2 linked regions of the Ovis aries genome follow. The protein of the gene in region 1 interacts with the protein of each later gene in a pairwise test. Links are inferred from orthologs where the notes say so. Each region holds a gene or a part of one and is shown on either strand. Other genes may lie near its edges.

Region 1 (4,263 bases):
AGAGTTCTGGATTTGGGACCAGGGGCAGGGAGACAGGAAAAGAAGCTGACCTGAAATCTTGATTTTTTTGATGACCTTGTTGGTAGAGTTGTTGATGGAAACATTGACAGAGATGGGTTTGCCATGATAATTTACCTAAAGCAGGAGGAGAGGCCGTAATAAGGTTGGAGGGAGAACACTCAGATAAAGACCTAGAATTTGTTTCCTCAGCACTCTTGCCGACCTGGCCTCCACCCCTATCTTCCCAAGTAGGTGATCAATAAAGAAAGGGTTTCAGAGCGGTTGCACACTAGGAGGCGAGAAATGGGGGTCACAAACCTCCTTGTCCATCCAGGCCTGGAGTTGTAGGGGCTGAGCTGACAGGAGGAAGCGGCGCACAGTCTGGGCCCAGGGGCCAGGGCCTGGTTCCAGGGGAGCAAACTGTATTTTCCGAATCACCAGCCGCACAGAGTCTCTAAGTAGAGGCCAAGGGGACAGCCAGAACATCTCCTTAGGACCCACAGACCTTTCTTGTGCCAAACCTATAGCCCAGTCCTCGCTTGGGTGGTGGAGGTGGTAGAAGGTTTCCCTCAGAGAATGCCTCTGGACCCTCAAGGTAGGTATCTAGACCATAGGTCAGCAAACTATGGCTCACTGGCTAAGTCTGGTCTGCTGCTTGTGTCTGTGTGGCCTGCAAGCTAAAAATGGTCATTACATTTTCAAGTGGTTGAAAAAAATCAAAGAACAATATTTCATGACATGTGGAAATTATATAAAATTCAAATTTCAATGTTCATAAAGTACTGGAACGCAGCCATGCTTGTTCATTTACGTACTGCCCATGGCTGTTTTCATGCTACAGTGGCACAGTTCAGTAGGTGCAACAGGAAGTACATTGTTCACAAAGCCTAATTATTTCTTGTCTGGCCTTTGACAGAAGAATTTGCTGACCCATGCTCTAGAGCAAAGAAGAGAAATTAGAGGGAAATCAGAAATGGGCATCTGAACTGGTGGTGATGCTGCTACACAGGTTAGAAGTAAGGACGTTTCTGTCCTGAGAGCAAGATCTGTTTCCTGGTGCAGGCTAGAGGCAGGGATTTTGAAGTTGACCACAGAAACACCTCTTGGAGACTTTCTCCTCCAGGTTTTCAGCACAGAAACTCCTCACTTCAAAGTCAACACCGCAGGCCTGCAAAGGGGCAGAGGCAAAGAGAACTCATTTCTGACACTGCCCACTCCCTTCCTCATGGGTTTATAAGGAAATGTCTGATCCCACCCATTAGCTGTCCCTTTCTCCAGTCTTGTCCATTTATCCCTCTGTCCACCTTTTTGAGAACCCAGACCTCACCTTTCCTGTATCATCAGGACCTGGCTGCAGTGTCACCGAACAGGGCAGGTTGACAACCATCTAAAGGATCAGAAGGAGGTCGGCAAACAGAAGAAATAGGGACCCCTTTACTCTATCCTCTTTGTTAAGCTTTCTCTCTTAATCTTCCCTAGAAGCCTTACCTAGGGCTTGGGGTCAGTACCTGCAGGGTAAAGGGGTAGGCATTGTCCCCCAGCTTGTGCAGCAGTCGCTCCTGCAGGACTGTGAGGGGGCCCCGGGGGCTGCTGGGCTCAGCTGGGACCACTTGCTGGACCTGTACGTACAGATCTTTGCGGAATGTCAGACCAATCACATCCAAGTCATCATGGCCATAGCGAAAGGCACAGGTCAACATGACAAACACTGCAGGCAAAGGAACAAGAGAGTGACCTGTCAGGTCTGAGGGGGAAAGGAGATCTTAACAGCATCAGAAGAAGCTCAGAGGAAGACATAGAGAAACAATGTAACATTATCAAACCAGTATAGCCATAAAGAAAAGGATTAACACATTTGACTACAGTAAAATTTAAAACTTCTTTACATTAAGAATCTTTATAAATAATGAAACAAGCAAAAGCCTGAGGAAATATTTGCAACACCTGTAACAAAAGTTTAGTGTTCATAGTATCTAAAAAAATTCCCACAAATCAGTAATAAAAATACAAACATTCCAATATAAAAGTGTGCAAAATGCATGAATAGGCTCTACACAGAAGCGTGGAGTGGAATGGCCAATGAAGTATGAAAACATGTCCAGTCTTATTAGTAATCAGATAAATGCAAATTAAAGCCACAATGAGATAACATTTCTGCCTCCTCAGACTGTCAAAAATTTTTAAGTCTGACAGCACTAAATGTTGAACAATGCTCCAGATGTGAAACAATTGATTACGTACTGTGGTGGGAGTATATGTTTGTACAGCCACTTTAGAAAACTGTTGGGCACTGTCCAATAAAGTGGAATCTGCTCATATCTTATGAAATAAGAATCTAGTGGAACTCTTGCTCTTGTCTATAAGGAGAAACATATAAAATGTCCATGGCGTCAGTGTTTGTCATAGCATAAAACTGGAAATGATTTAAATACCTATCAATGGGAGAGTGGGTAAACAGTTATGGTATATTCATATCATGGAATATTAAACTGAGATTAAAATAATGAACTCCATGTATTAGCATGGTTGAGTCTCAGATGTTGAGTAAAGGAAGGATGATATGCACAATCATACCATGTATATAAAGTTGAAAAGCATGTAGAACAATACCAAATTTGCTCATTGATATATAAAGTTAGAAGTATAGAAACATCATGGAACAATAAATATCAAATTTAGAATAGTTATTACCCGAGGTAGAGGCAGGAAGGAAAGGAGGGAGGGAGGAAGGAGTATGGGATTAGGGAAGGATACACAGGAGACTTCAGTTGGTTTCTGTAATTCTTTTTAAAACTAGGTGATGAAAAAAAAAAAAACTAGGTGATGGGCACAGGATATTCATTGTGTAATTCTAGGGTCAGAACCTAGGTTTGCATACGACTTGTAGAAATCCCTTGTGTTGTCTGAGCCTCAGTTATTTCACCTGTCAATAATAGGACTGCAGAAGAGCTCTACAGTTATTATCTCTGTTTTATAGGTAGAGAAAATGAGCTCAGAGTAGCTAAATGACAGCCCAGGATTTTAACTCAGACATGACTAAAGCCTAGACTCATATGCCCAACTTAACTCACAGGATGGTTTTAAGGAGGTGATGTATGAGAAATCCCTGTGGAAATTTAAATTATAGATGTGGATGATGATGATCATCATGGGAATATTAGAGAAATGGAACAATAATAATTGAACTTATGCATTACAGCTAGTACCTAAGATTATTGGGACAAATAGAAAGCTACTTCGTGCACTAGTGGAGTGTGGGATAGGGTACAGAAAGATATCTTTCCAAGGATAGTGACAGAGACTGAGGGAAGGAAAGATTTACAACAGGGGTTGGGGAAAAAATGGAATAGGGGTCAAGAATCTTATCAGGAGCCCTGACCCAAAGAAAAGAAAACTACCAAGAGCCACACACTAGTAGAAACCAACCTATTTTTGTATTTTTAAGAAATCAAAATATACAACAGCCAGATTATCTGCTTTTAAAATTACAAACAAGCAAAGCAAATGAATCTATTTTCAAAAGATACAACAAAGACTGAAAGTAGCGGTAATGGTAGTGCTTATAATGACTGGGACAATGGGCAGCCTCATGCCCTGCACGAAAGTGAAGTCGCTCAGTCATGTCCGACTCTTTGCGGCCCCAGGCGACCCACCAGGCTCCTCCGTCCATGGGATTTTCGAAGCAAGAATACTGGAGTGGGTTGCCATTTCCTTCTCCAGGATACCCTGCACAAGGGAGAGTTAATTGGTACAGCCATTTTGAAGGGCAATTTGGCGATAGAAAGCTTTAAAAATGTGTGACTACCCTTTGGCCATTCATTCCTTTTCCAGGCATTTAGTCTAAAGAAATAATTAGACAAGTATGAAAAAAAATACATACAAGCATGTACTTTATGGGGTTGTCATAGCAAAAAATGTCCAGTGGTTAAAGTTGGTGAAAATATATTATGGTGCACTCATACAATATAGTACTAGGCAACTAAAAATTTTATAGATTTTTACATATTGCATAGCCAAAAAAGAAGATTAGAAAGTATTATGTATAATATAGCATTTAAAATAAAAATATAGATATTTTTACACAGAAAATATGAATAAATGTGAACTGAAATATTTGTGATTATCTCTGGGTGAGAGGATTACAGTCTTTCTCCTTCATCTGTACTTTTCTAATGTTTCTACATGAAGACAAACTTAACAATTTTCAAAAGATACAATAAATTAAATTCATCTTGGTTTCCCAGTTATGCCAAAAAAAGTGGG
Region 2 (4,706 bases), on another chromosome or scaffold:
GGCACTTGCCCCCGAAGGCTGTTCGAAGCAACTCCGTGAAGGATGCCAGGCAGTGAGGGTAGTAGGAGAGCCGGAACTTACTGCAGCAGAGCCCCAGACCTGCCGTGAGGACTGGTGGTCTTGGCACCCTCCCCCACGCCCACCCCAGCCCCACCCCCGCTCGCCAAGTCAGTACCTCAAGCCAGGAGACCCGCTCTGGCCAGCCCCGGGCACCTGCACCGTGTAATCCAGAGTCACCATGTGGGCCTTGTTGTTCACGGTCAGCACTGACGTCGTGATGTCCTTGGTCAGGTCACTCTGCAGGCAGGGTTGCCAGCTGTGTCAACCTCTGCAACTACCATGAGGCCAGGACCCCAGGACCACACCTCCCGCCCTGGGCCTGCCCTCCCCAGGGGGCCCCACCTTATAGTAGATGTTTTTTCCTGGGGGTGCGCACCCCGTGCGGAGGATGTGGTCGTAGTTGCGATGATCAATGACCAGCACGCCTCCCGACCGCACCATGCTTGCGATGTTCCTCAGGGCCAGCCGGTGCTCACTCTGGTCTCCTGAACCAGGTGGGGACAGAGACACTGCGTCTGCTCAGGGCCCCCAGCACCAGTCTCTGTCCCGTCTTTTTCCTCTGGAAAGGGTATAGTTCAAGGCAGGTTCCACTCCCCAGGCCACACCCTCTCTCACCTTTGCAGTCTGGCAAGTGGGCAAAACTGTTTCCAAGGCAGATGACAGCATCGAAGCCACCCCCTGGTGGTTGGGGCACGTCTTTGTCCAGAGTCATCCAGTTAGCTTCTTCAATGACTGGGGGCCAGGGAGGGGAAGAGGGATCAGGGTGGCACCCACCTCCATCAAGGGCAGTCCTGCCTCAGTTTCCCCTTCAAGACACACATAGGGACTCCCCATCCAGTCAGGGGAGGGCATCATTATGGACATGGAGGGTGAAGGGGACCAGGGACCCGGGGAGGAGGAAACCATGGTTGGGAAGGAGGGCTCTGTGTTTATGGGTTTTTACTGGGGGGCACAGGACACTGCCCACCGTCCAGGACAAGCCCCCTGTCCAAGATGGGCTTCCTGGTGGCCCAGTCGGTAAAAAAAATCTGCCACCAATGTGGAAAACCTGGGTTCGATCCCAGGGTTGGGAAGATCCCCTGGAGAAGGGAATGGCTACCCACACCAGTATTCTGGCCTGGAGAATTCCATGGACTGTATAGTCCATGGGGTCGCAAACAGTCAAACACGACTGAGTGACTTTCACAGGACACTATAAACATAATTAAAACTAGCTCCTCATTCTCAGTACCTCCTTCTGGTGTGTAAGCCTCCCTTTTCAGGGAAATGACAGTGATTTCCTTCTTTGAGGAAAACAGCTCCCCACCACAACTGATAAAGGAGCCCAGGGTAGAGAGAAGTGAGGGCACCTGGCTGGATCCACGTACCCCACTTGTCAAAGGCAGGGTCGTGCCTCCGGTTCCAGCGCTCCTTGAGAGCATACTTTAGCATCTTGTCACTGGCATCCACGCTTGTCACGTTGAAGCCCTCTTCCACCAGCATGATGGAGTCCACCCTGGGCAGGACCAGGAATGACAGTCAGAGAGGGGCAGTCAGGGAGGCCTGGAGAGGCAAAGAGGAGGCCCTGTGCTGAACACTCCTGTCTCCCCCACTCTTCAGAGTCCACCCCTCTGTTTCCTGTCCCCAGGCTCTCTCCGCTGACCTCAAGTGACCTGGCAAATCTGTTTCTTATCACCCGGTGGTAACTTTTCTTTTTTGTTTCTCAGCACCACGTCAGGTATTGTACAAATGGGCGTTAATCCTTACGGCAATCCAGGGACTTCCCTGGTGCTTCAGTGGCTAAGACTCTGCACTCCCAATGCAGGGGGCCCAGGTTGGATCCCTGGTAGGGAAACTAAGATCCCACATACTGCAGCAAGAGAAGTCTGTGCCCCACAATGAAGACTTGGTACATACAGCAAAATAAGTAGTTAAAACTCACGGCAATCCAGTAAGGTAGGTGGTGGTATCCCTATTTGAGAGGTGGGGCAAACTGAAGCTCCTGCAAGCTAAGTAACTTGAGCACAGGAGGTAGTGTTGCATAGTGGGTTTTTTTCTTTTTGTTTTTGGCAGTCCCATGAGGCTTGCAGGATCTCAGTTCTCCCACCAGCTATTGAACCCAGGGCCCTGGGCAGTGAAACCTCAGAATCCTAACCATTAGACCACCAGGGAACTGCCAGATGGTGGTTCAGAGCACAAGCCAGGCCTTAACCAACCTGGGTCCACATCTTCCTTCCACCTTTACCTCTCTGAGGCCAAATTTCTGCAACCGTAAATAGCTATCACTACTCTTGTAGCTCAGCCCGTAAAGAATCTGCCTGCAGTGCAGGAGACCTGGGTTCAATCCCTGGGCTGGGAAGATTCCCTGGAGAAGGAAATGGCAACCCACTCCTGTCCTTGGCCTGGAAAATCTCATGGACAGAGGAGCCTGGTGGGCTGCAGTTCATGGGGTCGCAAAGAGACGGGCACGACTGAGCGACTAACACACACACACACACACACACTTACCTCATGAGGTTTTGTAAGGATTTTAAAAACTGATGTGTCAGAAACACCTGGCACAATGCTTTGGCAGAGGCACATCACGTTGAACAAGTGTTAAGTGTGAACGCTGCCGCTGGAGCGGGGTTCGACCTTATGTGAGGCTAGTCCCAAAACCCGGGCCTTGGGCCACCGCCCTGGCGAACCCGCCTTCCCCATCCGCTGTGCCCACACCCTCGCTCTCATCCTGGGTCTCCTCGGCCCCGTCCTGCCCGTTCTGCCTGGGCAAACACACATTCCCCGCCCTGGCGTCGCGCCCCAGCCCCGGCTCCCGGGTCGGCGGAGGAGGCTGCCCCGACGTGCCCGCCCGTGGTCCGCAGCCCGGCTGCCCGTGCCAAGCCGACCCCATCCGCTCGGTGCCCGGGTTTTCCGCTCACCCGGGTCCCCTGCTCGCCCCCCGCTCGCGCTCACTGCGGTCCCCGGGGCCCCTCCCGCGCTCACCCGGTGCCGCAGGCCACGTCGAGCACCCGCTGGCAGCCGTGCTGGCGCAGCAGCCCGAGCAGCCAGGCCTTGTACTCCGCGGTGCGGCTGCTGGTGTCCCCGATGTAGAGCTGCCACACGCGCGCCGCCTCTCCGTCCGCGTACTGGTCCGGGAGCCCTTCAGCCGCCACCCCCAGGGAGCGGGTCCGGTACACGCTGTCCACCATCCTGCGACGCGCCTGGCCCCGCCGCCGCGGCCCCCGGCTCCGGCTCCGCGTTTATAACGCGGCCCCTGCCAGAGCGCCGGCCGCCCCACCTGCCCAATGGCAGGTGAGCGCGCGGACACGCCCCTGCCGGCTCCCGGCCCCGCGCCGCCGGGAGGGCGCGGCCTGGCAATCCTGGACTGGCCCTACCTGCCTGCCAGAAGATCCGGCCCTCCGGACCGTCCCTCGGCGGGAAAGGACCCTCCCAAGGCCCCGGCCCACTCAACCCAGGTCGCTGGAGGGCCAGGGAAGCGGGGCAGGAGAAGGGCAGCAATGAGAATGCCCACTCCACCCCCGCCCCAGGCTGGAAAGGAATTTGAGTCCGCAGAGAGGAGCGCCCAGGGCTGAACCGTTCGTAGCAGAGCGGGAGAAAGGTATTAGCATATCTAAAGAAGGACTGTCCAGCTGAATGAGGGCCTACTCAGCTAGGGAAGGAAGGAAGGGGGATAATGCTGGCTTGGCCATTCAAGTCCAGGAGCGGCTCTGGCTCAATTCCACCCAGCTGGGGGCAGGTGCTCCTCTATCCTGTAGCTGAGGCATCAAGCCTTTTTAAAGGCCTCAGATGCAGTTTGGTTCAAATTCCTCTCCAACCACACGCTCTTCTAAAGACCAACTACTTTCCACGGAGGTGCCCACAGAGTGGTAAGTCCAGGGTCAAGGCTGGGAGTGTCCAGTGCTCTTGCTATCACGTTGTTCATTGTCATTTCATAAATTGGTCTTTTGCCTTGATTAGTGTACATCCACCCTTCCTTCCCAAAGCAGGTCTCTTCCTGGGACAAGACCCTGCACTGAGATGGATGGTGCCCAGAAAAATGATGCTACCCAGGGAACCCCAAGACGGCAAGAACAGCCTTCCCTACCTGTCTTTATTCTGGCTTCAGAAAGAGCCAGGATGGGGCTTCTAACCCTAGTGATTAAGAATCCACCTTGCAATGCAAGGGACACTGGTTCAATCTCTGATCTGAGAAGACCCCACATGCCTCAAGGCAACTAAGCCCTGGGCCGTGTTGTAGCCACCTGTTCCGCATTCCGGGGAAACAAACTCAGAAGGACAATGCAGAGAGTGGTGAGTGAGTTAAAGTTGTTCAGTAGTGTCCGACTCTCTGCAACCCTGTAGACTATACAGTCCATAGAATTCTCCAGGCCAGAATACTGGAGTGGGTAGCCTTTCCCTTCTCCAGGGGATCTTCCCAACCCAGGGATTGAACCCAGGTCTCCCGCATTGCAGGCAGATTCTTTACCAGCTGAGCTATCAGAGAAGCCCGCAGAGAGTGGAGTGCAGTTTATTACACCGGCAGGGCCAAGGCAGAGTCTCCCCTTAGTCAAGGACCCCGACTAGTTTTTGTGAAAACCTTATATACTGTAAGCGTACCCGTGCCCAAACCCACCTCCCCAAAATTTCCTGAAACTAGTCTGAACAAAGGAAAAAAAAGATACAATCAA

Evidence for each region.
Region 2: the proteins of ARR3 (region 1) and GNMT interact in a two-hybrid assay, tested with the Homo sapiens proteins (2 studies listed by BioGRID and IntAct). The two-hybrid records come from large-scale screens. The link is inferred for Ovis aries from reciprocal best matches to the Homo sapiens genes ARR3 and GNMT.

Annotation. Positions count from the first base shown.
Region 1 is NC_056080.1:63,161,924-63,166,186, reverse strand, and holds part of ARR3 (arrestin-C), read right to left. Parts: intron 1,709-4,263; coding exon 1,509-1,708; intron 1,388-1,508; coding exon 1,328-1,387; intron 1,169-1,327; coding exon 1,101-1,168; intron 455-1,100; coding exon 319-454; intron 136-318; coding exon 51-135; intron 1-50. UniProt on the Homo sapiens protein: May play a role in an as yet undefined retina-specific signal transduction. Could bind to photoactivated-phosphorylated red/green opsins.
Region 2 is NC_056073.1:16,602,760-16,607,465, reverse strand, and holds the start of GNMT (glycine N-methyltransferase), read right to left. Parts: upstream 3,256-4,706; 5' UTR 3,228-3,255; coding exon 3,022-3,227; intron 1,556-3,021; coding exon 1,428-1,555; intron 793-1,427; coding exon 676-792; intron 546-675; coding exon 403-545; intron 298-402; coding exon 176-297; intron 81-175; coding exon 1-80. UniProt on the Homo sapiens protein: Catalyzes the methylation of glycine by using S-adenosylmethionine (AdoMet) to form N-methylglycine (sarcosine) with the concomitant production of S-adenosylhomocysteine (AdoHcy), a reaction regulated by the binding of 5-methyltetrahydrofolate.